Regions from separate parts of the Mus musculus genome. Here all the other regions are reported to be linked to region 2. Evidence: microRNA targets listed by miRTarBase, many of them from high-throughput screens and not tested one by one. Region 2 holds a microRNA gene; each other region holds the end of a gene's coding sequence. Distances are from middle to middle.

Region 1 (7,449 bases), 83 Mb from region 2:
AGACTCTGGGCGTTTGAGAAGGAACCTGGGCTATCTGGGGACATTTCCTGGGGCTGCAAGACATCAGGGACATGGCGCTGGGCAGCAGGTGGAAGGAGGAACTTCTAAGCTGTGCCTTGGAATGAGTTTGCTGGAGTGAACGCGAGATGCTGGGGTACCAGGACCCTGGGCACTGGCCGGGTGAGCAGGTTGGTGGGGATGCAGGGCTGGGATGCTGTTCTTGTGTTCAGTGGGACTATGTACATCCTGGTGGAGCTCTGTGGAATGGTCTACATTTGCTCCCATCCTTCAGGGCATCCTTGAGATGCAGAGACTGGAGCTGCCTGGGGTCAGCCAGAGCCTCACTTGGTTCCCCTCCGCGCCCTGTGTTCTTTCCTAGGTTGTGAGGACTGAGCACAAGAGAGGGCCCCTCATCTCAGACTCCAGTGTGCATCTCAGCATCTAGCTCATTGCCCATCTCAGTACGTGCCCTGTGGTATGGGGTGGCATGACTCGGGGCTGTGGAAGATGGTGGGCAGATGGAGGCTGGGGTAGAGGCTGTGGATGCTAATGGCCAGGAGTGGTTCACGTCCAGGCAGTGTGGCCACTACTATGGAAAGCCTCATTTTCTGGGCTTAATGTCACCTTCCCTCATGACTAACACTCTCCTCCTCTAGGTTCTGGGCAGTGATGGCTGTTTAGGAGGTAGAAGGACCAGCAGGCAGTGGGAATTGTCTGGGCAGGTGGCTTAGGACTTAGGAGGCTCACTCTGAGTCTCTGAAGTCTCCTTTGTCTCGATAACCCAGAAATCTTGTCAATGAGATCCATCCTGGTCCAAATGCCTTTTCTAAAACCCATATTGCCACTCCAGGGCTGACTGTAAGGCCTTGTCTGACCCAGTCACCTGGGCTGTGTCATGTCCATGGGGGCCAGCCTGGAAGCATCCTCCTCAACCCATTTTACAGGAGAGGAAACTGAGGCAGCCGCAGCACCATCTTCTCTTAGGCCCCGGGTGGGGCCTGGCCACATTCTTCTCACCCTACACTGGGACCTGGGGTCTGGAAGTCCAGCAGGAACGATGGCTGAGGCCAGTGTCTCCCCATGTCCCTCAGCAGAAGAAAAAATGGCAGGCAAACAGCCCCCTCCGCTCATGAAGAAGCACAGCCAGACGGATCTTGTGAGCCGCTTGAAGACCAGAAAGATCCTGGGTGTGGGCGGGGAGGATGATGACGGCGAAGTGCACCGGTCCAAGGTGAGCCATGCTAGGAAGAGGAGTCATGAGCCTGCAACTTCCAGGGCCCTCTGCTCGTGTCAGGGGAATGCTATGCCCAGTGGCAGAAGTTTGGGGACAAGAACCCAGTGCTTCTTAGGGTACTGGCATAGACTGTCCTATAGACATGAGTGCATCCTGCTAGCTCTGCTGGTTATCCATGTGGTTATTGACCCATTGTACAGGTGAGGAAGCTAAGACTCACATAGAGGGGCTAAGTAACTTCCTTAAGGTTATATCAGTGACCCACAGAACCAGGCTTCCAGCCCCTGCTGGGCAGACCCTGAGTTTCTTTCCTTACCACCTCTTTTCAGTTCTCTTGTCTGGGTACCAAGGGAGGCAGGAGAGGTTGAGCTTGCATTGGGGAAAACATTTATGTTAATCAGGGATGTTCTGATGGCCCCCAGGTGTCCACAGGAGCTGGGAGGAAGGTGGGTGGGTGAGATGCTGAAACTGAAGACTTCTTCCCTGATGCCTCTGACTTGTGTGTCCACAGATCAGCCAGGTTTTGGGCAACGAGATAAAGTTTGCTGTGCGGGAGCCTCTGGGGCTCAGGTGAGCAGTAGGTCTCGTTTGGATGGTTTTGTGTCCCGGGTATGTGTAAGGTCCTACGTGACTGGGCCTTGCTCTGAATTACATCCACACTGTTCATTGCCTCCTCAAATAGCCCTGGCTGTTTGGGTTGCACAGGGTTCCCCCCCACCCCCCGTTTGGGTTGGCAGTGGGGGTCAGGGTGAGTGTGGCTGTAACTGTCTTCTCGGAACCTCCCCAGGGTCTGGCAGTTTCTTTCTGCTATGCTGTTCTCCAGTGTGGCCATCATGGTGAGTACTGTGTGTCCCCGCCCAGGCTGCAAGTAGGTCCTGAGACTTAGATGGGGGTGGGGGTGTGTGTGTGGCTCTTTCCCTTACCCCAGCTGCTGCTGTCTTCACTCTGAGGCCCATACTTCAGGGTCTAGGCCAACTCCCGGGACATCCTGTCCATTACTGGTGTGCCGTGCCCCCAAAGTAACCAGCACACATGCTCTGGGCTCTGGGCTCTGGGCATCCCAGCATTGGATGCTGCCCCAAGGAGGTCCCTAGCATTTGTCTCACCTCATAGCTGACCCTGTGCTCCTCCTGCTGCCCACAGGCCCTTGCCCTCCCTGATCAGCTCTACGATGCAGTTTTTGATGGGGCTGAAGTCACAAGCAAGACCCCCATCCGCCTCTACGGTGGTGCCCTCCTTAGTGAGTATTGCTGGGTCTCCAGCAGCCTGGTAGCCCTCTTCATCTGTGTCTGTGCTGCCACCTTGTGGCCATTGCTAGAATGCATGTAGTTGGTTCACTGCCCTGGCAATGGCAGAGGTAGCTTGGGCCTGGAGGCCCTTGCCCCATTGTGTAGATAAAGATACCAAGTCCTGGGGAGATGAGCACCTGGCTTGGGTTGGATAGGGCTTTAGAAGCAATGTGAGCTGTCTCTGGGGGGAAAGCTATAGCTGAAGAGCTGAGGACCGGAAGAGGGGCCGTCTGGTCTGAGAAGTGGGTGTTGTGGAATAAGTGGGTTCGGACTCCTGGGCTAGGGATCAGGCTGCCCCGGTGCTTGATTCCAACAGGCATCTCCTTGATCATGTGGAACGCACTCTACACAGCCGAGAAGGTCATCATCCGCTGGACTCTGCTCACTGAGGCCTGCTACTTCGGGGTGCAGTCCCTGGGTGAGTGGTGTAGGGTGGTGGGAAGGCTATCAGGGTGCAGGAAGAGAAGGGCAGAGCACTGGGTGCTCCTACAACATAGACCAGTGTCCTGAATCCACAGCCCAGCCGTTCCCTCCAAGCCTGACACTCAGGATGCACTTCTAGGCACCTGCCACTTGGGGGCAGCAGACTGGCCTAGGCTGGTGTTAGGCTTCTGGAGGTCGTCAGCCTGCAGTCCCACTCACCACAGGGATGGTCGAGGGTATTCAGCCTAGCCTAGCGTCATGATGGGAGAGGCTCAAGCACGTGTCTGCTCCTGACCTTTGCCTCCCCCGACTTCCTTCACAGTGGTCACTGCCACGCTTGCTGAGACGGGCCTCATGTCCCTGGGGACCGTGCTGCTCCTGGCCAGCCGCCTCCTCTTTGTTATTGTCAGCATCTACTACTATTACCAAGTCGGCCGGAAACCCAAAAAAGTGTAGCAGGCTGGGACCTGCCTGGGCCTGGACCTGGGCCCGAGCAGCTGGGGACTTCACTGTCCATGGGTCCTAGACAGGCCTGCAGGCAGGCAGGGTGCACACGCCTTCCTTCCCTCCCAGGCACTCCACGGAGTCATCTTGGGTCTCCTGGGATTCTAGGAGTGACAGACCAGGCTGTGGCCTCTGCACCCCACCCCTCACCCTTGTGCAGGGACAACTCCTTGCCCTGTGTTTCTTGGCCTCTAGACTCTAACAGGCAGAGTCTAGAGTAAGTTTTAGGGTCTGGGCTGAGTCAAGGTGAGTTCCTCTGCCAGGAAGCCCTTTCTAGGAGGTTGTGTCGGCCCCAGCAGGGGCTCTCAGCTTCTCCCCATCCAGAAACCCGATGTGTGAGTCCCTCATCACACACGCACACACACACACACACACACACACACACACACACACACACACACACACACGGTGTTTCTAGAGATCCAGTTGAGGACATCTAGCAAGGGGAGTGACTGCCTCCCTTGGGCCAAGTTCCCCAGCCTCAGCCTGCACATCTCTCTCTTTGGCCTGCTGGAGGGTACTCTGATTCTCTGGCTGGCCGCCTGCGTCCCAGAGCACCAGAGTCCCTTCCCGACAGGCTAGGGTTAGGCAATGTACCACAGGCCTGATAGTCCCTGGCTCCTAGCTGCCCATAGGCTCCTAGTGCATGAGGAATTCTGAGGAGAGGACAAGTGGGGACATTTCCTCGGCATGGCCTCCAAGGCCTGCATGGCTACACACCTGGCTCAGTGCCTCCTCCAGATCCCCTCCTGAGGCTGCCCCAAGGCCTACGGGTTAAAGCCAATAGCTGCTCACATGCAACAACGGAAGGAGATTCAAGAGTCTGCCATCCCTTAGCAGCCCCTAAGTGGGCCTCTAGAGCTGAAGACACACCCCTGGTGCCACCAGCCTGTGTGGCCCCTCCCCTTGGCCCTAGCTCCCAGCACCTCCCTACCCTTCAGCAGCAAGCACACTAAGAGATTTGGCCCGAGGCTTCTCCCTTCTGCAAGGGGGTGGTCCCCTATACCCGAGGAATCTTTCTCTAGGGCACCTGGGCTCACAGCCTCCCTGGGCTCGGTTGTTCCTGCTGCCAAGTGCTCTGTGACCATGGCCTTTGCCTAGTGGAGGGAACTCAGTGGAGGATGTGCCCAGCAGTGGCCGGGGCTGCTTCTGTAACCAAGGTCTGGCAGAGTAGCGATTCCCTGCGTGTTCAGGAAGGGCCCATTGTGTATACCTGCCTCTTGTCACTGGCTTGGTGCCAGTCCCTCAGTCCCACCTCTTTACTCGGACCATGGACCCTGCCACTGCCAGCTCTTAGTACAGTCCCAACTACCGTAGACCAGGTGACATTTGTTGACACCATTCTCAGAGGTGTTGAAGATTTATCATCTTGAATCCTCCACAAATACAGATACAGTCCCAAGGGAGGTAGTCGTAGAAATGGAAGACGCCAGCCCTGCGCAGCCTGCAGGGACATCCGCCAGGCTTCCCCTCAGCAGCAGGAGCCCAGGTCACCCTGGTTAAACTGCAGTGATACATTTAGGTGGGTGGGGTCAAGGCATATGTGGCCTCCGGGAGACACCTGCTTGGAAGGAGGCAGTGATGGAGATAGAGCCCCACTCTGAGTCTGGGCTCAGAGTGCCCTGACTGCTCTCCCCCACCCCATCCCCAGCTCCTCTTGTCATGCTTCTGCCTGGCCCCCAAGACTGCCTCTGTCATGGTCACTATTTATTCTTGGTCCCTTTTTCTTTTTGTAAGAAACAGTCACAAGAAAACAACAACAACAACAAAAAACAACCAATGAGAAACAATCTGCGTGGTGTCCTGTTTTATATTACAAAATTTCTCTTAATATAGAATATAAAAAGGGGAGACTTGGGAGATACAATGATAAATTAGCTCTGTTTCCTACTGCAAGGGACATTTACAAATTCCAAAATAGACTTTAGCATATGACGTGTGTGTGTGTGTGTGTGTGTGTGTGTGTGTGTGTGTGTGTGTGTGTGTATCAGAGTTCCTGGGGATGAAGGTGCTGGGTTCAGAACCCAGGTAGGCCAGGGGCTTGGGACAGGATAATGGGGAGCATGAGCCACAGGTCCAGTCTTAGCTCCTCGCCTGTCAGATACAGCTGTCCCTTAGGCCACTGCTCTGGGACAGGAAGTGGCTGTTCTGCTCACTACTGGCTGAGGCATCTTGGGGTGAAGGAAGAGCTCCCCTCCATTCCTCTGGGAGTACACAGAGCAGCTCACCAAGCCCCACCAGGATGACCTCAGACAGCCTTGCAATGGCTACCAGCAAGCTCAGAGGGTGAAGACTGTGTCTGTCTGGCCCCATGAGGATGCTGAGAAGCTGGGTTGAATCAGGGCTACTTGGGAGCGCTTCAGCGTAAGTGTGGAAAGTTCTGGTGAGGGACTCTGATCTGCCCTGGAATTGCCTAGGCTCCATATCTGGCTTCTCAGTCCCTCCCTGTCCCAGCCCTGCCCATCTCTGGAAGCCTGGGCTAGTTCTGGGTGGCAGCCGCTGTGGTTGGGCTAAGTCCTCAACCTAGCCATGAACTTCCAATCAATAGCCAAGCCATTTGCCTTCCTAGACAGTTGGAGTCCAGTACGTGCTGGGTTCTGAGTCAGCCTGGGTCCTCTTAGTCTGGGGGTGCAAGCCAGCAGAGGGGCCCCCTGATCTGGTGACTCAGCCTCTAGGGAGCTTACTATGGGGATGCCAATTAAGCTGTCATAAAGACAACTTCCGTATAGCATTCAGAGACACCCACTCCCCGGAAGGCCAGGCTGGGTGAGGACCACATAAAGAGGAGAGAAAATGGGAGAAGTAGCCCCCCTTGCACCCAGACAGCAGAATAGAACAGGCTATGGCTATGACTCCCAGGTGGCAGAAGGGCAAAGGAAGGCTGGAGTTCAGGTCAGGCTCTTCCATCTGAGAGAGGAGAGCAGACACCTAGCTGTTCCTTCCACCACTGTTCCCCTTTTGTGCCCTTGGCAGACATAATTAATCAAATTTGAGATCCTGACAGACAACACTAATGGATTCAACACGGTCCTGGCAGGGTCAGGCATCTTGCAACTAGTTGCTAACCTAGCCTGCAGTTCAAGTTTGTGTGTGTGTGTGTGTGTGTGTGGGGGGGTGTTGGTTGGTTGGTTGGTTGTGAACCTATTAGTCTGGGGTGTTTGTTTGTGTGTGTGTGTGTGTGTGTGTGTGTGTGTGTCTGTTGGTTGGTTGGTTGGTTGTGAACCTATTAGTCTGGGGTGTTTGTGTGTGTGTGTGTGTGTGTGTGTGTGTGTGTGTGTGTGTCTGTTGGTTGGTTGGTTGGTTGTGAACCTATTAGTCTGGGTAATCTGAGCCTAGAGAGACTAACAAAATAAATGTTCAGCAAAAGGTCAGAAGGTGTCACGGTAGGAGATGCTGTGGGGTTAAGTCTGCAGACAAGAGGCATGACCTTAACCTCTAGAAAGGAGAGAGAGTGAAGGGGTACACAGACGGAAAAATGGAAACCCCTTCTGTCTGCGGAGGTGATGGTGACATCAGAGCATCTGAAGGCAGGAGGCTGAGTTGGGAGGTAGTGAGATCCATCCGTATGTGGAGGGATGCAGGGGTGAATTCTTGGCAGGGACCTTGAAGAACACATTCAAGCCTCAGCTCTGGGTAGAAAGAGAGAAATGAACAATACTGGGGTGTCTTCCACCTGGGAGAACAGGGGTGGGGCATGGCCCACGGGGACAGGTGATGTATCACAGTTGGATCTCTGACAGAGGTACAAGCAGGGCAGAGTGGACACAGTACGGACTGTAGAGCTGGATGCAGGCAGTTCCTGGCCAGTTTACATCGGGGTGGAGTCCTGGCTGGAGCGACAGCAGCCTGGAGATGACCTTGTCATGCACATGCTGTGTGACTGGACGGAAATGAAAGGGCCACCTTCTGATCCAGTGTCCACACACAGCCACCCTCAGCCAGCGGGAGCAGGGACCGCTTCGCTCTCCAGCAGATGGTGCTGCAGAGTCTGTCCTTGTG
Region 2 (7,449 bases):
ACACGTATAAACGCAAGCACACACACAGACACAGGAATGGCATTCATTGACCCATTTAAATGATATGCCACTCAGAGTAGTAGAGATTATTCAGTATGGGGCAAGTGAGTGCTCTCATTCTCTAGGTGAAAATGCTTACTATAGTTAGGAGTATCAGAAGTTCAAATTTATGCTTATCTTCAGCATGATTTAGAGATAAGCCTGTGATTCATGTGATGCCTTAAGTGTACATGCAGGTTTGTATAGTTGTGTGTGTATGTTCATGTGTCTATATGGATATACATAACATATACATAGACATATAAACCCTAGCGTGCACACACACACACACACACACACACACACACACACACACACACACACGAATAACATTCATAGATCCATTTATATGATATGCCACCTAGAATATTAGAAATTATTCAGTACTGGGCCAGTGAGTGCTGTCATTTTCTAGGTAAAAATGCTTGCTAGAATCAGGAGTATCAGGAGTTCAAATTCATGCTTATCTTCAGGAGGATATAGATATCTGCCTGTGATTCATGTGATTGCCACCCATGTATGTGCATGGGTGTATAGTTTTGTGTACATGTGCATGTGTGTATATGAATAGACATAACATGCACATACATATAAACACAAGCACACACACACACAGAGACACAGGAATGACACTCATCGATCCATCTGAATGATAGGTGACTTAGAGTTTTAGAGATTATGCAGTAGTGGGACAGTGAATGGTCTCAATCACCAGGTGTAAACCACAGAGTCAGGAGGATCAGGAGTTCAAATCCATGCTTAATTTCAGTTGGAGATCATCCTGGTATTTCTGTGATGCTACCCATGTATGTGCATGTGTGCTTACTTGTATGTGCATGTGCATGTGTTGATATGAATATACATAACATAAACACACGTGTATATGCAGGCACACACACACAGAAGAAATTGCATTCGTCGTTACGTTTGAATGATATATGACTTAGAGCTTTAAGAGTATGTATTACTGGGCCAATGAAACGTCTTACTTACCAGTAAAAATGTTTGTTATATTCAGATGGATCAGGGGTCCAAATTCATGAGTAATTTCAAAATGACATAGAGATCAGCCTGACTTCACGGGGTTCCCCCCAATGTATGTTTATGTGTGTATAGTTTATGTGCATGTGCATGTGTGCATATGCATATACATATACATCCATACAAACATATAGAAGTAGCACAGATACACAGACACACACACACACACCCATCAATCATTTTGAATGACAGGTGACTTAGAGTTTTAGAAATTATGCTGTGCTGGGCCAGTGAGTGCTCTTAGTCAAAAGGTAAAAATGCTTGCCAGAGTCAGGAGGATGAGCAGTCAAAATTCATTCTCAACTTCATGATGAGTCTGGGATCAACTTCGGATTCATGTGATGCCCCCAATCTATTTGCTTGTGTGTATATGTATGTGTGCATGAACATGTGTATATGAATATACATATACATACACACATACCCATACAAACATGCATACAAACACACAGAAAATGGATACTCATTGTTCTATTGAATGATATGTGTCTTAGAGTCTTAGAGATTCTGTATGACTGGGCCAGGGAGAGGTCACACTCACCATGTGACGCCCCTTGCCAGAGTCAGGGTGATCAGGAGTGCAAATTCATGTTAACTGCGTGATGAGGTAGAGATCAGCCTGTCATTCATGTGATGGCCCCTGTGTATGTGCATGTGTGTTTGTGTGTGCGTACATGTACATGTGTGTATATGAATATACATATACATACACGCACACATAGATACGCACGCACACACACACACAGGGATGGCACTCATCAATCCATTTGAATGATAAGTGACTTAGAGTGAAAATGCTTACTAGAGTTAAGAGTATCAGGAGTTCAAATTCATACTTATCCTCATGAGAATTTAGAGATCAGCCTGTGATTTATGTGATTCCTCCATGTATGTGCATGTGTGTATAGTTGTGTGTGCATGTTCATGTCTATATTTGAATATACATAACATACACACACACGTATAAACGCAAGCACACATACACAGATACAGGAATGGCATTCGCCAATCCCTTTGAATGATAAGTCATGTAGAGTTTTAGAGATTATGCAATAGGGGACATTGAATGGTCTCACCCACCAGGTGTAAAAGATTGACAAAGTCAGGAGGATAAAGATTTCAAATTCATGCTTAATTCAGTTAGAGATCATCCTGGTATTCATGTGATGCCACCCATGTATGTGCATGTGTGTTTACTTGTATGTGCATGTGCATGTGTTGACATGAATATACATAACATAAACACATGTGTATATGCAAGCACACACACACACACACAGAGAAAAAATTGCATTCATTTATATGTTTGAAAGATATGTGACTTAGAGCTTTAGCAATTATGTAGTACTTGGCCAATGAAACTTCTTACTTACCAGTAAAATGTTTTTCATATTCAGATGGATCAGGAGTTCAAATTCATGAGTAACTTCAAAATGGTGTACAGATCAGCCTGGCTTCATGGGATCCTCCCCAATGTATGTGCATGTGTGTATAGTTTTGTGTGCATGTGCATGTGTGTATATGAATAGACATATACATCCACACAAACATATACAAGCAAGCACAGATACACACACAGGAATGGCACTCATCGATCCATTTGAATGATAGGTGACTTAGAGTTTTAGAGACTGCAGTAGTGGGACAGTGAATGGTCTCAGTCACCAGCTGTAAATGATTGACAAAGTCTGGAGAATCAGGATTTCAAATTCATGATTAACTTCAGTTAGAGATTATCCTGGTATTCCTGTGATGCCACCCATGTATGTGCATGTGTGTTTACATGTGTGTGCGTGTACATCTGTGTAAATGAATATATATATATATATATATATATACATATATATATATATATATATATATATATATATATATATATAACATAAACATACATGTATATGGACACACGTATGCACACATACACACAAGGAATGGAATTCATTGATATGTTTGAATGATATGTGATTTTGAGCTTTAAAGGTTATGTAGTACTGGTCAAATGAAAGTTTTTCTCACTATGTAAAAGCTTGCCATATTCAGAGGGGTCAGGAATTCATATTCATAAATAAATTCAAAAGAGAGTAGAGATCAGCCTGATTTTATGGGGTTCCCCACAATATATTTGCATGTGTGTATAGTTTTGTGTGCATGTGCATGTGTGTATATGAATATACATATACATCCACACAAACATATACAAGCATGCACAGATATACACACACACAGAAATGGCACCCATAGATCATTTTGAGTGACATGTGACATGTGACATGTGAGTTTTAGAGAGTATGCCGTGCTGGGCCAATGAATGCTCTCACTCACAAGGTAAAGACCCTTGCCAGATTCAGGATGATCAAGAGTGTAAATTCATGTTGGTTGCATGATGAGTTGGAGATCAGCCTGGCATTCATGTGATGGCTCCTGTGTATGTGCATGTGTGTTTGTGTGTGCGTACATGTACATGTGTGTATATGAATATGCATATACATGAGAGCATACATAGACACACGTGCATGTGCGCTTGCATGCGCGTGCGTGCACACACACACACACACACACAGAGGATATGTGATTTACAGTCTTATAGATTATGTAGTAGTGGGTAATGAATGGTCGCACTCATCATGTGTAAACAATTTGCAGATTCAAGAAGATCAGGAGTTCAAATTCATGCTTAACTTCAGCTGGACATCATCCTGGTATTCATGTGATGCCACCCGTGTATGTGCATGTGTGTTTACAGGTGTGTGCATGTGAATGTATATATATGAGTATACATGTACAGACACATGCAGCACACACACACACACGAATGCCACTCATTGATCCATTTGAATGATATGTCACTTAGCATATTAGAGATTATGCAGTACTTGGCCAGTGAGTGCTCTCATTCTCTAGGTGAAAATCCTTGCTAGAGTTAAGAGTATCCCGAGTTCAAATTCATACTTATCCTCATGAGAGATCAGCCTGTGATTCCTCCATGCATGTGCATGTGTGTATAGTTGTGTGTGCATGTTTATGTGTGTATTTGAATATACATAACATACACACACACGTATAAACACAAGCACACACACACAGACACAAGAATGACACTCATCAATCCATTTGAATGATAACTGACTTAAGAGTTTTAGAGATTATGCAATAGGGGACAGTGAATGGTTTCACTCACCAGGTGTAAATGATTGACAGAGTCAGGTTAATCAGGATTTCAAATTCATGCTTAACTTCAGTTATAGATCATTCATGTGATGCCACCCATTTATGTCGATGTGTGTTTTCGTGTGTGTGCATGTGGATGTATGTATATGATTTTGCATATACAGACACATGCACACACATGCGGCACACACACACACACACAAATGACACTCATCGATCCATTTGAATGATATGTCACTTAGAGTTTTAGAGATTATGCAGTTCTGGGACAGTGCGTGATCTCACTCTCCAGGTCAAAATGTATGCTGGAATCAGGAGTTTTAGGAGTTCAAATTCATGCTTAACTTCATGATGATTTTAAGATCAGCCTGTGATTCATGTGATTCTCAGCCATGTATGTCCATGTGTGTATATTTGTGTGTGCATGTGCTTGTGTGTATGTGAATATATATATCATACGCACGCACACACACACACAAATGCAAGCACATACACTCTCACACACAGAGGAATTGAATTCATCCATTAATTTGAATGCTATGTGACTTATTCTTTTAGAGATTATGCAGTAGTGGGACAGTGAACGGTCTCACTCGCCATGTGCAAACATATTACAGATTGAGCAGGGTCGGGAGTTCAAATTCATGCTTAACTTCAGCTGGACATCATCCTGGTATTCATGTGATGCCACCCGTGTATGTGCATGTGTGTTTACGTCCCTGTGTATGCACATGTGTGTATATAAATATACATACCATAAACATACATGTAAATGCAAGCACACAAACATGGAATGGCATTCATTGATACATTTGAATGATGTGTGACATAGAGCTTTAAAGATTATGTAGTATTGGGCTAATGAAACTTTTTACTCACAATGTGAAAAAGCTTCCCATATTCAGAAGGATTAGGAGTTCAAATTTATGAATAACTTCAAAATGGCTTAGAGATCAGCCTGGCTTTATGGGTTCCTTCCCAGTGTATGTTCATGTTGCATAGTTTTGTGTGCTAATGTATGTGTGCATATGAATATACATATAAATACACACAAACACATACACACAGGCACACACACACACACACACACACACACACACACATACACACACACACACACACACACACACACATACCCCGAATGGCACTCATTGATACTTTTAAATGACATGTGACTTAAAGTTTTAGAGATTATGCAGGGCTGGATCAGTGGGTGCTCTCACTCACAAGGTGAAAATGCTTGCCAGAGTCAGGAGGATCAGGAGTGGAAATTCATTCTCAAATTCATGAGTCCAGGATCAGCTTCGGATTCTAGTGATGCCCCCAGTGTATGTGCCTGTGTGTATATGTATGTGTGCATGTGCATGTGTGTATATGAATATACATATACATACACACATACCCATACAAACATGCACACAAACACACAGAAAATTGACACTCATCGATCCATTTCAATGATATGTGAGTCTTAGAGATTCTGTATGACTGGGCCACAGAGAGGTCTCACTCACCAGGTGACGCCCCTTGCCAGAGCCAGGATGATCAGGAGTGCAAATTCATGTTCACTGCATGATGAGGTAGAGATCAACCTGGCATTCATGTGATGACCCCTATGTATGTGCATGTGTGTTTGTGTGTACATGTACATGTATATATATATTGATATACATATAAATACATGCACACATATTCATGCATGCACACGCACACATTAATGGCACTCTTAGATCCATTTGAATAACATGTGACTTAGAGGTGAGAGATTATGCAGTACGGGGACAGTGAGTGTTCTCACTCATCAGGTGTAGACAACTGCCAGAGTCAGGTCTATCAGGAGCTTAAATGCATGCTTACACTCATGAGGACTTAGAGATCAGCCTGTGATTTATGTGATTCCCCCCATGCATGTGAACGTGTGTATAGTTGTGTGTGCATGTGTGTATATGAATATATATAACATCCACACATGTATAAATGCAAGCACAGAAACACACAAACATAGGAATGGTACTCATCGATCCATTTGAATGATATATGACTTAGAGTTTTAGAGATTATGCAGTAGAGGGACAGTGAATGGTCTCAATCACCAGGTGTAAATGATTGACAAAGTCAGGAGGATCAGGAGTTCAAACTCCATTTAGAGATCATCCTGGTATTCATTTGATGCCACCCATGTATGTGCACGTGTGCTTACATGTGTGTGCATGTTCATGAATGTATATGGATATGCATGTGCAGACACACACACACATGCAACACACACACAAACACATGGTGACTTGCATTCATCTACTTGCATAATATGTGACTAAGAGTTTTAAAGATTATGCAGTACTGTGCCCGTGCATGCTCTTACTCAACAGGTCAAAGTGCTTGCCAGAGTCAGGCCTTAAAGGTATGTGACTTAGAGTTTGAGAGATTATGCAGGGCTGGATCAGTGGGTGCTCTCACTCACAAGGTGAAAATGCTTGCCAGAGTCAGGAGGATCAGGAGTGGAAATTCATTCTCAAATTCATGATTAGGTAGGGATCAGCTTCAGATTCATGTGATGGCGCCCCCCCCCCCCAGTGTATGTGCCTGTGTGTATATGTATGTGTGCATGTGCATGTGTGTATATGAGTATACATATACATACACACATACCCATACAAGCATGCACACAAATACACGCAAAATCGCCACTCATGGATCCATTTGAATGATATGTGACTTAGTCTTAGAGGTTCTGTATGACTGGGCCAGTGCGTGATCTCACTCACCGGGTGAATAATCCTTCCAGAGTCAGGAGGATCAGGAATTCGAATTCATGCTTAACTTCATAATGAGTTAGAGATCAGATGCGATTCGTGTGATGCCCACCAAAAATGTGCATGGGTGTATAGTTGTGTGCATATTCATTTCTCTATATGAATATGCATATACACGCAAGCACACACAGGAATGGCACTCATATATCCTTTTGAATGGTATGTGACTTAGAGCTTTAGAGTTTATCCAGTAACGGACCAGAGCTATGTCTCAGTTAGGAGGTGAGTATTCTTGCCAGAGTCAGGAGGATCAGGAGGTCTAATTTATGTTTAACTTCCTGATGAGTTAGAGATCATCCTGGCATTCATGTGATGCCCACCAATAATGTGCATGTGTGTATAGTTGTGTGCATATTCATTTCTCTATATGACTATGCATATACACACA
Region 3 (7,252 bases), not on the chromosome of region 2:
AAAATGAATAGTGTGAATTATTCTTAAGAAAAATCAATATAATCGACTTGAAATTCCAAATTTTTAAAGGCTGATAAAAATGCACCTTGCATTATTCAAGAAAAATAATATAACACTTTAAAATGGCTGTTTAAAGAACCTCATGTTGTTTCCAGATTCACTAAATTCACTGTGGTTTTCTCCTTAAAACAATGGACATAATTGATCAGCTGTACGTAGGACAGGGCTGAACATCACATCCCAGAAGAGAGGATTCAGACTTTCCCAAGCATACTTTATGAAAATTTCATCTATGCATCTTACAGGCATATAAAGTTATGAGATTCTAATTGTTTCTTAAAGTACCTGTCAACCATCTTTGATAAATAATCTGTAATTAGAATACGTTTTCAGTTTTTATAGCTGACCTGATGACACTTAGAGATTTTTTAAAAATTTCTTTATTATATGTAAATACACTGTTGCTGTCTTCAGACACTCCAGAAGAGGGTGCCAGATCTTGTTATGGATGGTTGTGAGCCACCATGTGGTTGCTGGGACTTGAACTCAGGACCTTTTGAAAAGCAGTCAGTGCTCTTAACCCCTGAGCCATCTCTCCAGTGTGACACTTAGAGATTTTAATATTTTATATAATACTTGTGCATTTGTGTATTAAACAAGTACAAATTCAAGTCACAGAACAATCTCTCAGCTTCATGTTTTTCTTACTAAGTTTTTTCTGTTCGAATAAAAAACCATGACTAAAACCAACTTGGGAACTAAAAGCTTATTTCACCTTAAAGTTGCAGTCCAAAGCTAGGCAGTGGTGGTGCAGAGGGAGGCGGATTTCTGAGTTCCAGGCCAGCCTGGTCTACAGAGTGATTTTCCAGGACAGCCAAAGCTACACATTGAAACCCTGTCTCAAAAAATGAAACAAAACAAAACAAAACAAAAAAATGTTGCAGTCCAGCTTTAAGAGAAATTAAGGCAGAAACACAAAAGTACATGCAAACATATCACATACACACACACACACACACACACACACGAAAGGAAGTCATAAGACATATGGAACACCATCGAATACACAAACTTATTAGCATAGATGAAAGAGACACCAATTCAATGGCATGGATATCTTCAGCATGCTTATAGATGAAAACTCCCCACACTAGAAAGGCACCTCTATGCACATCAACCCCCTCCCCCCAACACAGAACAACAAATAGATAAGACAAGGAAGGAAAATCCTTTGAGCATTAATAAAACACTAAGTATATATAACAAAGAATGTATCTTGAAAGCTGTAAGAGAAGACTAACAACTGATTTTTCAGTGAAAACTCTGAAATCCCCCAGAGGTTGTAGCAATGCATAAAAGTCTTAAAGACTATAACAGCAAACCTAAAATAATATACCCAGCAAAACTATGATGATTTGAGGAGAATGGAGATTTTCTACAACATAAACAGCCTAAACAAATTATATTCAATAAACTAAAACTTAAGAGACATATAGGAAACAGTATGTTTCCCTGAAGAGATAATTCAGCATTGCAGAGAGAGTCATATTATAAAAAGTCTTAATTATTCAAGAATAAAATATACTAAGAAGAAAACACCAAAAATCAGCAACAGGATTACCACTACTTACACACACGTATAAATAATTTTAAATATCAGCGTCTTCAATTCTCCAGTCAAAGAGCAGACTGAATGAAAGGATCAAGAAAGAATGGGACAGGGAAGTAGAGCACATAGACCTACGTATGTAAACAAATAGATATATAGATAGATATACATACATACATTTTATACAGACAGACATATATACATATATACACATTTATTGGATAGAGCAGAGTCCCAACAGTCACCCTTCATTTTTAGACTCAGCCTTTTTATAGCTTCTTAGACAAAAAATAAAATCATGTCACAGATAGAATGTTACACAAAAGGGAGTAACAGAAGGATGTTAGTAAGTTCAAGACAATATTTCATTCTCTAAGCTCGTATGTTCAAAGGAACAGTTTCATATGGCCTTATTTTTTAAAGATTTGATGTAAGTACACTCTAAGTGCCTTCAGACACACCAGAAGATCCCATTACAGATGGTTGTGAGCCACCATGTATCTGTTGGGAATTGAACGCAGGACCTCTAGAAGAGCAGTAGGTGCTCTTAACTGCTGAGAAACCTCTCCAGGCCCCATATGGCCTTATTTTATACTAGTGCACACCTGACCTGAAATGATTGTTTTTTCCATGATCATTAATTTGTTCCAATCCTATTTCTCTTCTTAGTACAACTTATAAAAGCTCATTCTATTTCTTATTATGCAGCCTTTACTTACTATTCTATGAGGAGGGGACACATTCTATTCTTGATTCTAACTTTATTATATCTTTCTGGAAAAAAAAACAATTAAAACCATCTCATTAAACATTCTTCCTAAAAATATTTGAACCAAGGCAGGAATTCTGTAAAGTCATTGATTCATCTAAATTGTGTTGTTTTAATGAAAGTTCCTCTTAATGTTGATCTGCAGAAAATTTGTCTGATAGGATAGGTTGATGCTCAGGAATCATTAGGATATGTAAGAGTAACATGAAAGGCATATCAATAGGAAGAAGCAATTCTTGGATGAAGTGTCTGGGATCTATGCCTTTCAGAACTCCCCCATAATAGGTCATTCAAAAAGGTGGACCACCTTTAGAAAACTTGCTTGCCATATCCTTTTCTACATTGCTTATGCCACTGGACATTCAATCCTTTGCTTCTAGGAAGAACTTGGACATCTAGGGTGCTGTGCTCAGCCTTGACACTCATATTATATGGGGACTGGGCTCATAACAGAGCATTTCCTTAGTATGCATTCTCTAGGTTCCAATCCCCAGCAACAAACACACAGAAAAGACTCAGAGTAAGGGAGCATAGTACCCAGTAAGTGGGAATCCTGATTTAATCCCGTATCCTAGAGAATGGGACTCAAGAACATAAATGTCTTGAGGGAAAGAGGTAGGGTGAGACCAACAGGATGGATAGTGCCTGTGCTACAGAGAAATCCCATGATAGAGAAATAGAATGTAAAACAAGAGGCAAACAGGTGAGAGGCTGGTGAGATGAGGCCTTGTAGCACTGTGGGATTTGCTTAAATCCAACATAACTCAAATATGAGGTCTAGGCAGCTAACAAAAAATGATTGTAATCAAGCTGCTACTGATAGATCAAGGCAGCAGAACAGACTTGGAAACTGAAGTATGACCCTGAAGGGATGTTCTGCAACATATTTAAAGGATAAAACCATAGAGCAAGGGGGAAGGAGGCTGGACACTATCCAATCATATTTTGACATAAGAGATTGAGCAAGGAGTTTCCATCAGTTAGGAGTTAGTCTCTGGGCATGGGAACATATACTTTTTTGACCATGCCAGCAAGAAGGAGAAGTTGTACCTGAGATATGTGAATTCAAGCAACTGTTTGTTTACAATAGAAGCTGTCTAACTATTGGGAAGTACCCAGCTCCACTCTGGCCTGGGATCTTGACTTTATTATTAAATGGAGTCTGACAATGATATAGTAGCACTTAGAATAATGTTTTTGTTTTGTTTTGTTTTGTTTTGTTTTGCTTGTTCTCAGCAGCAGCAATATTGGTCCAGGAAAATTCTGGGGCACCTAGTGAACATGTCTAGAGATCTGGGCAGCTGCCACTGTTCTGCTGACAAGAGTCTTTTCAGATGAGCTGGCTGTAGGGGAAATGCTACAAACTCACAATCCAATGGAGTCTTTAGAACAAGGACCTGGGCCCCAGAAAGTCCATGAAAGCACACACTCTATGCTCTGTTGTTATTGTATTACACAGTTCTCACCCTGGTGCCTGGGATTCAGTTCTCACCAGGTTCAGAACTGAGTCAGTGTAGTGGCAATCTATGTCTGGATAAAATAGGAAAGGTAACTGTATTCCTAATGTTTAAGAGTGACACCTTCTCTGGGAAGTGGTGGCACACACCTTTAATCCCAGCACTTGGGAGGCAGAGGCAGGCAGATTTCTGAGTTCAAAGCCAGACTGGTCTACAAAGTGAGTTCCAGGACAGCCAGGGCTATACAGAGAAACCCTACCTCAAAACAACAACAACAACAACAACAAAGAGTGACACCTTCATGATATCAGGGATTTTAAAGTATGGCTTCCCATGAGAACATACACCCCTCAAATGAACATTTGCACTTAGCCTTGTACAAAAGACTATGGTTTGGGTCTAGGGTCTAGATTGTATTCATTTTCTCTGCCAGTTAAATAACTAAAACAGGAGAAATCCACAGCATTACAGGCAGCAGTGTTATGGGGATGTCCATGAGAGAGGACTCCTAGGACATGGGTTTAAACCAATAGAATATCTCTATTAGCCAGCAGGCAGTAGTGCTTGGTGTTAGGGATCCCAGGGTTGCACCAAACCTTTCTCAGGGTGAGTTTTTTTAAAAAGATTTATTTATTAATTTTATTTATGTGAATACACTGTAGCTGTCTTCAGACACACCAGAAGAGGGCATCAGATCTTATTACAGATGGTTGTGAGCCACCATGTGGTTGCTGGGAATTGAACTCAGGAAGTCTGGAAGAGCAGTCAGTGCTCTTAACCGCTGAGCCATCTCTCTAGCCCTCAGGGTGAGTTTTAAATACCAAAGCCATATTCTAGGTTGACATACTTCAAATGGTAAGAACAGTTAGCCAGAAGCAGAAGTACAATAGCCAAAAATCCTGGTTAGTACTGAAAGATCCTGACAGAATATAAAAGGTCACAGAAACCCTGAAATTGGCAAGATAGATTTCATTGCTAGCAGAACTAGCTTCACTGACTTAGAAAAATAGAGGTGCACAATGCTCTGGCCACTCCTTGAACCCGTGTGTCTGCCAATGTTTTTGACCGTTCCTTGAACCCATGTGTGTGCCCACTGATGAAGCCCATTGCCAGGTGTTTGTGATATTGGCTGCTGGGAAAGAGTCAGAGAATCTCCCCAGCAACCACAGCCAGGTCAATCCGGAGTTGCTACACCTGCACCAGACTCTTTCCTTGTACCCCTCCCATACCCATTTCTTGAGAATAGACATTGTTTAGATCTGGAAATCCCCTACAACCCCCTACTCCTTTCCCCCCTGAGGGCCTATAAAAACTGGGACCTCTTTCCCCTTGAGGTTGACTCCTCTACCCCTGCGTGGGATATGAGTCGTCCCCAGAGCTCTGGCTTTCCCCAAATAAAGCCTCATGTGGTTTGCATCAAGCTTGGTCTCTCGTGAGTTCTTGGGTGTCCGATATTGTCCCAAGGACTGAGCGAGGGGCTCCTCTCGGAGTCTTTCAGTATATTTAGGGACCTTCTCAGAACTATGGACTTTGATGGATTTTGCTTTTGTTTTATTTATGGTAAATGGTACTGTCTATGTGCTCAGTTTTTTGGTTTTTTTTTTTTTTTTTTGATTCAGTTAAGTTCTGTTCCACTAGTAGCTGGAAAAGAAGGGGGAGAAACAGAAGTGACCTGGAACAATACGTCTCAGGACAGCCAGCCACCTCCATCTTGATGAGGGAGATTAGTCAGAGGACAAGATGGCTGCCATCCACATGTCTGTCGCCTTTCATCTTTGTGAGGTCAATGTGCAACCGAGTGACAGAACAAGGAAGTAGACATGCAGACAACAGACATGCAGGTGCACTACCTCCCTTCTGTTTTTGGATAAGAGACACACAATTTTTATTATTTACAGTAAGCCTTAAACAGCACTCTGACAGCTGGGCAGATATCTACCTTCTATGTAATTAGAATTTCCTTTTTTCTTTTCTTTTATTTTTTTTAATTCTCAGGACCTGCATGGTAGCTTCTCCTAGGTTCTGGTGCCCTCTTCTGGCATGCAGTCATATAAGGCAGCAGATAGAGCACGCACACACACACACACATTTACATTGAAAACTAATAGTAATAATAAATAAGTAATAATAAGAAAAAAAGATCCTAGCTTCGGCCGGGCTGTGTGGGTGGCAGAGGCAGGCAGGCAGGCAGAGAGGACCTCTGTGAGTTTGAGGCTACCCAGGCCTACACTGAAAGTTCCAGGCAGGGATGCCGGGGCTACACCAAGAGAAACCCTATCTGGGGCAAAAGAAAACAAAAGCAGAAAATGTTCTGGCTTTTATTTTACAGACATATGATTCTTCTAGTACTACTGACTATCGAACTTTGATCATGAAGGCACGTTGGATTTTATGACAGTTTGTGTCTGTGTGTGTGTGTGTGTGTGTGTGTGTGTGTGTGTGTGTGCTGGCTGTTAAGGTAAAATATTAAGGGTTAGGGTTTGTTAAGAACTGAGCAAACTATTACGGTGGGGATATGCACGCTGTCCCTGCCATCCCTGGAACTGAGGCAGGAGGATGGCCACGAGTACTGATTTTTTTGGGATGGGCGGCCTTGATTGACAGTGGCAGGCTTCCCAGTCACCTGTGCTTCCTGTCGGGGTGGGCGGGGCTATAGAGGAGGATTTGGTTGGACTGTGATATCACGGTGACATCAATGTCGTTAAACATGCCCTTCCAGGGTGATTGACAGGATGAGACTGGACACGCCCACTTTGGTGATTGATGAACAGGGCAACAGGGGTCCAGTCACACCAGACGTGGGGGTGGGGAGCGGTCACGATGACGTCTATCAGCATCGCTTCATGACATCAGTTGATGTCATGAAGTTTAAGTCCTTCCTGTCAGTCACGTTGGGGGCGGGACGTCTAGGGCTGCAGGAGGTCCTTCCTGAGGGTCTGGGGGGGGGGGGTGGACGGGGGTCAGAGGTCACGCCTTGGGTTACAGGGGACAAGCCTCGCGCCCCACCCCCACCACGAGCGCTTGTGACTTTTGACCTCAGGGTTCACTCGCACGTCGTCGGACACCTTGTCCCTGATCCCTGGGATGGGCGGGAAGAGTCGGCGCGTCACCTCGAACCTGAGGGAGAGGGCAGGGCAGGGCAGGGCAGAGTTCACAGTGGCCATCCCCCTGCCTCACTCTCTCCATCCCGGCCATCCCCCTGCCTCAGCCCCCGCCGTCGCCCCACCTCCTGCACGTCACTCCGAGCGCCAGCGCGCACAGTAGGACTGCGCAGGCTGTCACTGCATACAGGAGCGCACCGGGCACTCGCGTGTCCTCAGCCTCTGTGGGGTGGGAGGGAGAGGTCAGGGGACCGGAAGTAGCGCGTTCGCAGTGGACGCGGAGGGCGGGTCTCCCGGGGAGTGGGCGGGGCCTCCA
Region 4 (7,449 bases), not on the chromosome of region 2:
CCATGAGCAGGATCCCGGTTCAGAGGTCTCTACATGACTTCTGAAAAAGAAAGCAGGCTGAGAGCGCTATTGTCTGCCCTAATGACAGCACCACAGTTCACTCTCTGGCTTGGATCCTCCAGATGAATTCACCCAAAAATCTATGAGAGGCCTGGGCCAGCCACTGAGACACCTGCCACCTCCCCAGCCACCATCTACCAGGAGCTCAGGGGAGAACGCCAAGACTGGGTTCCCGCCACAGTGCTATGCCTCCCAGTTCCAGGACTACGGTCCTCCAGGAGCTCAAAAGGTGTCAGGTGAGTGCTTTGGAACTCCCACCATAGCCAGGGTCTGATGCAAACAGGTGGCCTGGCTGGCCAGAGAGCTGAGAGGCAGCCACTTGCAGGAAGCAACTCTGCGTTTGGACAAGACTGCCTTCAGAGCCCCTGCTCAGGTCTGATGCGACTGCTTACAGTCCATAGGGCTCTTCATCAGCCAAGCTGCATGAGATGGTTTAGGCAGGACCAAGTCTCCTCTTTATTCCAGAGCCTGCATGGTACCAGGCCCAGAAAGGATTTGACAATGACTTGTTCAAAGTACAAGGAAGGCCCAGGAGGGTGCAGGCTCCTCATTGATGAGCTGAGATTGTGTGAGAAAGTAAGAAAGGCCTCTTTGGCTGTTGTCCCTGAGAAAGGGCAGAGCCACGGTTACTTCTGGCCAAGCAGGCTCCCCAGAAGGTGGGTCTCAGGCTGGGGAAGCTTTGGTAGAAGGAAGCGGCTGGTATGGCAAGGGCCCCAGGGCTGTGGTGGACTTCTGAGCAAGACAAGCTCGCTGCCCTGGAAAGGCAGGCTGGAAGATTGTGCACGGCTCTGGAAGGGATCGTCCAGTAATCAGTCAGATCACATCCGGGCTCTTGGCCCCGCAAGACCAAGAGTCTACATCTTTCCTCAGCTGCTCATTGCCTGAAGTGTATACACATACCGTAACAAGCTTTCTCTGAAAGGTTGCACAGGGGACTCACTGATGGGAGGGTAGCCTGGTGATCCAGTAAGTTCAGCTATTGCCACTGAAACACACAAGTGTTCCCATAGACGCCTTTGCTCGGCACAAACAATCTGTGGTTTGAGAAAGAAAATTCCAGAGCCTTGTCTACAGTAGCAGAGTTGGGGAAAATTTATAGTTGTGTTCTTAGAATTCCATCTGAAGAACCCAAAAGCCCTGGGCTGATATTTCAGTTCTGTTGTTTACCAGCAGGTGGGCTTGCAAGCCAGAAGTCTTAAAAGAGAAAGTTTAAAGTTTAAAGAGAGGACCACACATCACTCACCCCCGGTATACACATCTGGGCAGCTGTAGTCAGCAAATGACAGGTTTCCCCAGCTGTTGAATGCGAAGCAAAACTAATTTCAACATAGATCGTTTCTGCCCATAGACCGAAAGGAGGTGAATTTAAGAAGGGCAGGGCATCTGTTGGTAGGAGTGCAGGCAACGGGAAGTGTGGACCCCAGAAGGGAGAGCACACTGGGACCCAGCTCTGTCTCTAAACTGAGAGAGCTCTGCTCTCGCTCCAGCCATCTTTGGATCTCACCACTGCTGTGGCATGTCCTCTTCTGGCTCCGTCCTCTGAACAGGGGATGGAGCCCCAGGGCCAGAGTGCTGCTGCATCGGAAGTTGCTGGAAGCTGGAGACACAGTTGTTTGCATGCATGCCCTTTCCTCTGGTCATCTACAGCCAGCGGAGCAGGTGTGTGCCAGTCCTCTAAAACACCCTCCTCTCCCTCCTCTCAGGCGTGGCCAGTCGACTGCTGGGGCCATCGTTCGAGCCTTACCTGTTGCCGGAACTGACCAGATATGACTGTGAGGTGAACGTGCCCGTGCCTGGAAGCTCCACACTCCTGCAGGGGAGAGACCTTCTCAGAGCTCTGGACCAGGCCACCTGAGCCAGGGCCTCTGGCCGGGCATGCCCCTGCCTGCCCCGCCGTCTTGACCTGCCAGCTTCACTTCCATCTGTGTTGCTATTAGGTATCTCTAACACCAGCACACTTCTTACGAGATGTACTCAACCTGGCCTACTGGCCAGGTCACCAAGCAGTGGCCTTTATCTGACATGCTCACTTTATTATCCATGTTTTAAAAATACATAGTTGTTGTACCTGCTATGTTTTACCGTTGATGAAAGTGTTCTGAAATTTTATAAGATTTCCCCCTCCCTCCCTCCCTTGAATTACTTCTAATTTATATTCCCCAAAGGTTTTTCTCTCTCTCATTCATATCCATACTAACAAGCATGGTGGCTGGTGCCTCTCCCTAGGAAAGCTTTGGCGTCATTCAACTCAAGTGTTCTTGTTCTTGTTGCCAAAGAGAAAAGGATTTTCCTCCACTGTGGATTCTCCCTCTCCCCCACCCCCACATACACACACACACACACACACCCCTACACACATATACACACATGCACGTATGCGTGCACACACACACACACACACACACACACACACACACACCCCTACACACACACACACACACACACATATACACACACACACACACACACACACACACCCCTACACACATATACACACATGCACGTATGCGTGCACACACACACACACACACACACACACCCCTACACACATATACACACATGCACGTATGCGTGCACACACACACACACACACACACATCTAATCACCATATTGTAAAATTTTGTGTTTTTAAAGCCAACTCTTTGCTCCGGTTTTTTCATACGACTTAGTATGGGGCAAAAAAGCAATGTGAAGAATCAACTCTAGGGTTACCTGTGAAGCCACGCGGTGGTGTTCGAAGCTGTCTGGTAATGCCCCCATCTCTCCCCGGGTCCAGTGGATTTTTTTAACTATTATTCAAAAGCAAAACTGAGTTTTGTTTTGTTTGGTTTTTTAAGAAGAATTTATATCCGGGTTTAGTGTTTATCATATATATGGGTACTCTGTAATATCTAAAAGCTTAGAAATGGGATCTTGCTCACAAGAATCACTTTTAAGATCTTTTAGGGCTGTTAATTTTATTTTTCTCAGTGTTCTGGACACTGTAGACCTGTGCAGTACTCCCACAGGCCTGACTAACCGCCACAGATCTCTCTTTCTTTCTCTCTGGTGACTTTTTGCTTTTGTGATATGGCAGCGGTGTGACAGTCCCAGGAGAGAAGTCATTAAGGGGGAACATTGCAAGCTATCTTTTCGTGTTCTCAGTGTATTATGTACGTGTGTGCTGTTGCCGCTATGAGGGCTCGGGGCTTGCAGGCTCTGAGGGCATGTCGCAGGCGAGCTGGAAGGAAGCGCTCTCACTTTTTTTCAGGCAATGTTGCTAGCCCTTCTAGCACACTGAGCTACGAGACTGCCAATCTCTCTCCTGCGGCACGTTTGGGTTGGCACAGCTACCATGAAATGTTTTTAATGGGAATTCATAAAGCAAGTTAGGATTCACAAATGTAGTGACCTAGTCCTTGGAGCTAAACTGGGAGTGGGTGCCAGGTGGAGGGTAGCAGGTCTGACCAGCCCTACACCCTGCCACAGATCACAGCTTGCCGGGCAAATGACCCTGCGAAGCCACGGTGCAGCGCCCCCTGCTGGCGAGCAGCGGGCAGACCTCCAAGGACAGCCTCTAGCTGAGGTCTCAGTCACATGAAGTGTGACACTGAACAGGTAGAAAGCACTGAAAATCGTGTTCCAAGAGCACTTTGTAACTCACTGAGGGGGAGGGGAAGCACCTTTTGGGTTTGCGATACCAATCAACATAAGGTGTTGTTGACTCGGGTACAATAAAACTCTCAACACACACAAAGCCCATCAGGCAAGAGTACAGTAAGCCTAAGGGGACTTGCTGCTCAAACCAAAAATTAACTCTGAAGGTCAGTCTACCTGACATTACCTAGGCATGGTGTTGTCCAAGCTGCGCATCGGTGCACAGTGTGGCCTGGCACACACGCAGGCGGGCGACGGAACTTGAAGGGTTATTGACATGCAAATGCTGGTGTTTGATTTCCTGTGTTGTTGCCTCAGCGTTAAGGGCATTTCCGTTTGCAGTTCTACTAAAGACACTCTGAGAAATATTCCGAGTTTCGTATTAACCTTTCCTGTCCATGTAACAACTTCATGACCATTACTGCATTGTCAAATTCCTACTGACGACATTATAACTGTACGGGAGCTTAACTTTATAAGGAAATGTATTTTGACACTGATATCTTATTAAAGTATTCTGATCCTATCCTGCTCGTGCCTCTTGTTTTCTGTGCATTTACCGTGGACTGTGCCGTTGGAAAAATAGGGTTCTTACTCAAGAGCACACAGAAATGGACTTTGGAGCTAAACTAGACCAGCCTGAGACCACCCCACAGGAAGTCCAATGAAGGAAGGCGTTTGTGCCTGACAGTTGCCTGAGCCCAGGAGCTGGTCGCTATCTTCTGCATTTCTGTAGCTACTATGTGTCTAGCCAAGGCCCTTTCCTTGCATGCTGGGAAAGAAGGGAAGAAACCATGGGCTCTCACTTCAGAGACCCACACGAGGCACTGAGGTCCAAGGAGAAGGGCACCCTGGGCCAAGGGCATCACTGTAGAGTCAAGGCCTTCCTAGGTAGTATAGTAGGTAGGAAAGAAAAAGTCTTCAGGCAGAGACCGAGCACAGCAGAAGCTTACTGCTAGGCATGGACCTGATGGGTCCCTATTCCAGATGTGGCTTCTGTGAAAGCCACTCTTCTGGTGATCAAGGGGGAGGGATAAGGCCAGCAGCATCTCTTACAGTCAGCCCTACATATAATCAGCTGTCCCAGTATCCCTTGTGCTCCTGATGTCTTGGGTTCACAATGATCTCCTTAGCTCCATCGGCCTAAGCAATGCCATGCGTATAATTTCGTAGATGAGACTAGGACCCACAGTGACTTACTTCCACATGTCACACAGTCACAAGGCTCAAGACCCAGAGCTGGCTGTGAGCTATGGCTTATGCTAGGGCCTGTTTACATTTTCAAATAGAAAACTCCTGTCTGAGCACGGAGCCGCCGGCTCGGCGAGTAAGAGCACTTGCCCTGGTACAAGACCAGGGTTTCATTTCTAACGCCCACATGACGGCTCACAACTATCTATAACCCAGTCCCAGCAGCTCTGATGTCTACTTTTGGTGCCTTCATGGGCACCAGGTAGGCACATTGTACACATATATGCACGTGAGCAAAACATACCACATAAAATAACAAATCTAAAAAGAACACTCCAGTCAGTCTTAGTTTAACTCTAGGCATTGTGGGGATTTTGCTTCTATTCTTTTCCTCCTGACTTGATCTCTGGATCTTGAGTTGGAGTTTCTGGGCCCGGCCAAACTCCCCCTCACCTTCATCCACCATCTTGGGCTCTCCTCTTCCTCGGCTCCCCTGGGAATGGCAGACTTCTCCTGGAGGAGCACTCTCCTTGTCCCCAGTGACTTCAGAGGGGCCTATAATGCTGTTCTTTGGCTTTAACCCCATACCTAAAGCTCTGGTTGACCCTCCAGGCCCTGGTGGAGTGGGCACAGTATTCAATGCCTCTGACTTCAAAGTTCAGCAAGCAAGCAAAGGGGAAAAATAAGATGCCACTGTTCCTGATGGGTTGGTAGGAATTTGCTCTTCTTTGGGGTATGTGAGCCTAAGACGCAGTGCCCACGTCAGCCACTGCTGCTTCACATATTGTATCAAGGTGTTCAGGAAAGACTGGCTTGTCTCCTCCCGATTTTACGTTGTGGTTTAGGAGCAGGTATGTTCCGGCATGTGGCGCACACAGCAGCAGGATCAGGTCCCTGCGTGAAAGTGAGAGCCGTTGAGCCTCTTGAGCTCCTCCTGGCTGTAGGAGTCTCCTCTCAGTGGGGCTATCTCAGCCTCAGTGTTAACACAGTAGCCTCCAAATCAGAACACTTTCTGGGAGGGGAACTCAGACCCCAAGGTTGGAGCACCAGGGGCTCCTCCTCACCCCATGGAGCTTGGCCAACCCCATCCCCTCAAAGCAGGACAGATTGGTCAAATGCTGAGCTGTGGTTTACCTGAAGATATGATGCAGACCCGTATCCTCTATGACATCTAAGCTTCAACCACCTCCTGCCTTTTTTCCCTTTGCCTGCTCCTCCTCTGCTTTTGTGAAAAAGAATGTATAAAAGAATGTATACGCTATAATGGAGTGGTCAGATTAACCTGTTCTTTTTTCTCCTGAAGCGGGGATATTCCCAGGTCAGCAAAGTCAACTCTGGAGATACTGAGAGAGAGTTGAACCCTACTCCACTCTAAGTTTTCAACTTCTAGATATTTTCGAAAAGGAGACCAAATCCCAGGGGAACAAAGCCTTTAAGTGACCTGCCTATCACAAATCCCAGGGAAACAAAGCCTTTAAGTGACCTGCTTATCATATAGAGATGGAGAGGCGTGTCTAGGAGCAGAACCCAGGCCAGCATCGTAGTGACAGGGGCCAATTTCTTGGCCAGGAGACAGGACCTCCCACACATTGACTGTTCCCCAGCACGGCCTTATAGGTCTCCAGCCTCTTCCTGTTCTTTATAAAGGGTACTTTCCAATTCTCAGCCAATCCCTACAGCTTCTTCACCTCCGCACAGGAAAGTTTAAGACAGGCTCAAGAACACAGTCCTGCTCAATGGAATGATGTACTTTGGATAGATTTAAAAAAAAAAAAGTGAAGGGCAAGAAACAATCAGGTTCCACTATAGAGAAGTCAAGAGTGATAGTTTCTCGAGCCTCTCTCCCTCTTTGTTAACATTACTATGGTATAGATGGCAGGATGGATGAGTCAACATGAGTACAGTATTTAAAGTTTGTACTGTAGGAGTAAGCATGAGATGACTAAGTAGTTATAAGCACTGACTGCCCTTCCAGCGGGTTTAGGTTCAATTCCCAGCATCCACATGGGCTCATAACTCTATAACTCCAGACACAGATGGTCTGATGTCCTCTTCTGGCCTCCATGGGGACCAGGCTTGCATATGGTACATCTACATACATGTAGGCAAAACACCATATACATAAAGTAAGTAAATACAATTTTTAAAATATTGGCTGTAAAAATCTGTACAGTTTTTAACCTGCTTTTTTTCTTGCCGTTCACTTTTTTAAAAAATTTATCCAATCTATCCAAAGCACATTCCATTGAGCCAGACTGTGCCCTTAAGCCTGTCTTAAACTTTAGTGTGTGTGTGTGTGTGTGTGTGTGTGTGTGTGTGTGTGTGTGTGTGTGTGGCTTTTGGGGGGTTGGGGTGGGGGGTTTTGCTTTTTTGGTTTTTTGAGACAGGGTTTCTCTGGGTAGCTCTGGCTGTCCTGGAACTCACTCTGTAGAACAGGTTGGCCTTGAACTCAAAGAGATCCTCCTGCCCCTGAGTCCCAAGTGCACATCATTTGCTTTTCCTTGCTCACCTTGAGTTTTGGGACACATGCTCTGAGGACATCCTTTAGTTCAGACCTCTCA

Evidence for each region. Region 2 holds the annotated microRNA mmu-miR-466n-5p (GUGUGUGCGUACAUGUACAUGU, at 3,524-3,545, shown strand). A microRNA usually pairs through its seed, bases 2 to 8, with sites in the 3' UTR of a target mRNA and lowers its output. Matches are read on the target gene's strand: a 7mer-m8 pairs with bases 2 to 8, a 7mer-A1 pairs with bases 2 to 7 and ends in A, and an 8mer does both.
Region 1: the mRNA of Trp53i11 is a reported target of mmu-miR-466n-5p. Seed matches in the 3' UTR shown: 7mer-m8 at 3,806-3,812.
Region 3: miRTarBase lists Csf2ra as a target of mmu-miR-466n-5p. Seed matches in the 3' UTR shown: 7mer-m8 at 6,276-6,282.
Region 4: miRTarBase lists Epas1 as a target of mmu-miR-466n-5p. Seed matches in the 3' UTR shown: 7mer-m8 at 2,442-2,448, 7mer-m8 at 2,572-2,578, 7mer-m8 at 2,634-2,640, 7mer-A1 at 3,790-3,796 and 7mer-m8 at 3,933-3,939.

What each region holds. Positions count from the first base shown.
Region 1 is chr2:93,196,518-93,203,966 of GRCm38, forward strand. It overlaps Trp53i11 (transformation related protein 53 inducible protein 11), which reads left to right. Exons shown (of 8, transcript NM_001025246.2): 2 at 380-461; 3 at 1,095-1,231; 4 at 1,746-1,804; 5 at 2,022-2,070; 6 at 2,378-2,474; 7 at 2,840-2,941; 8 at 3,269-5,240. The coding sequence starts at 1,103. The coding sequence ends at 3,402. Tspan18 (tetraspanin 18) reads right to left here. Exons shown (of 10, transcript NM_183180.2): 10 at 5,243-7,449. Among named protein-coding and RNA genes, the nearest start is that of Trp53i11, 13 kb to the left of the region's middle.
Region 2 is chr2:10,510,236-10,517,684 of GRCm38, forward strand. It overlaps Mir466n (microRNA 466n), which reads left to right and starts at 3,506; the gene lies at 3,506-3,599. All of the region lies in intron 10 of Sfmbt2 (Scm-like with four mbt domains 2), which reads left to right. Mir466d (microRNA 466d) reads left to right here and starts at 1,732; the gene lies at 1,732-1,827. It overlaps Mir669m-1 (microRNA 669m-1), which reads left to right and starts at 2,555; the gene lies at 2,555-2,652. It also overlaps Mir669m-2, Mir669o, Mir466g, Mir466h, Mir669a-2 and Mir297b, and 4 more genes.
Region 3 is chr19:61,218,263-61,225,514 of GRCm38, forward strand. Csf2ra (colony stimulating factor 2 receptor, alpha, low-affinity (granulocyte-macrophage)) reads right to left here. Exons shown (of 12, transcript NM_009970.2): 10 at 7,062-7,158; 11 at 6,871-6,952; 12 at 6,140-6,771. The coding sequence ends at 6,742. Among named protein-coding and RNA genes, the nearest start is that of Csf2ra, 6.5 kb to the right of the region's middle.
Region 4 is chr17:86,829,188-86,836,636 of GRCm38, forward strand. Epas1 (endothelial PAS domain protein 1) reads left to right here. Exons shown (of 16, transcript NM_010137.3): 15 at 123-296; 16 at 1,764-4,223. The coding sequence ends at 1,915. Among named protein-coding and RNA genes, the nearest start is that of Epas1, 79 kb to the left of the region's middle.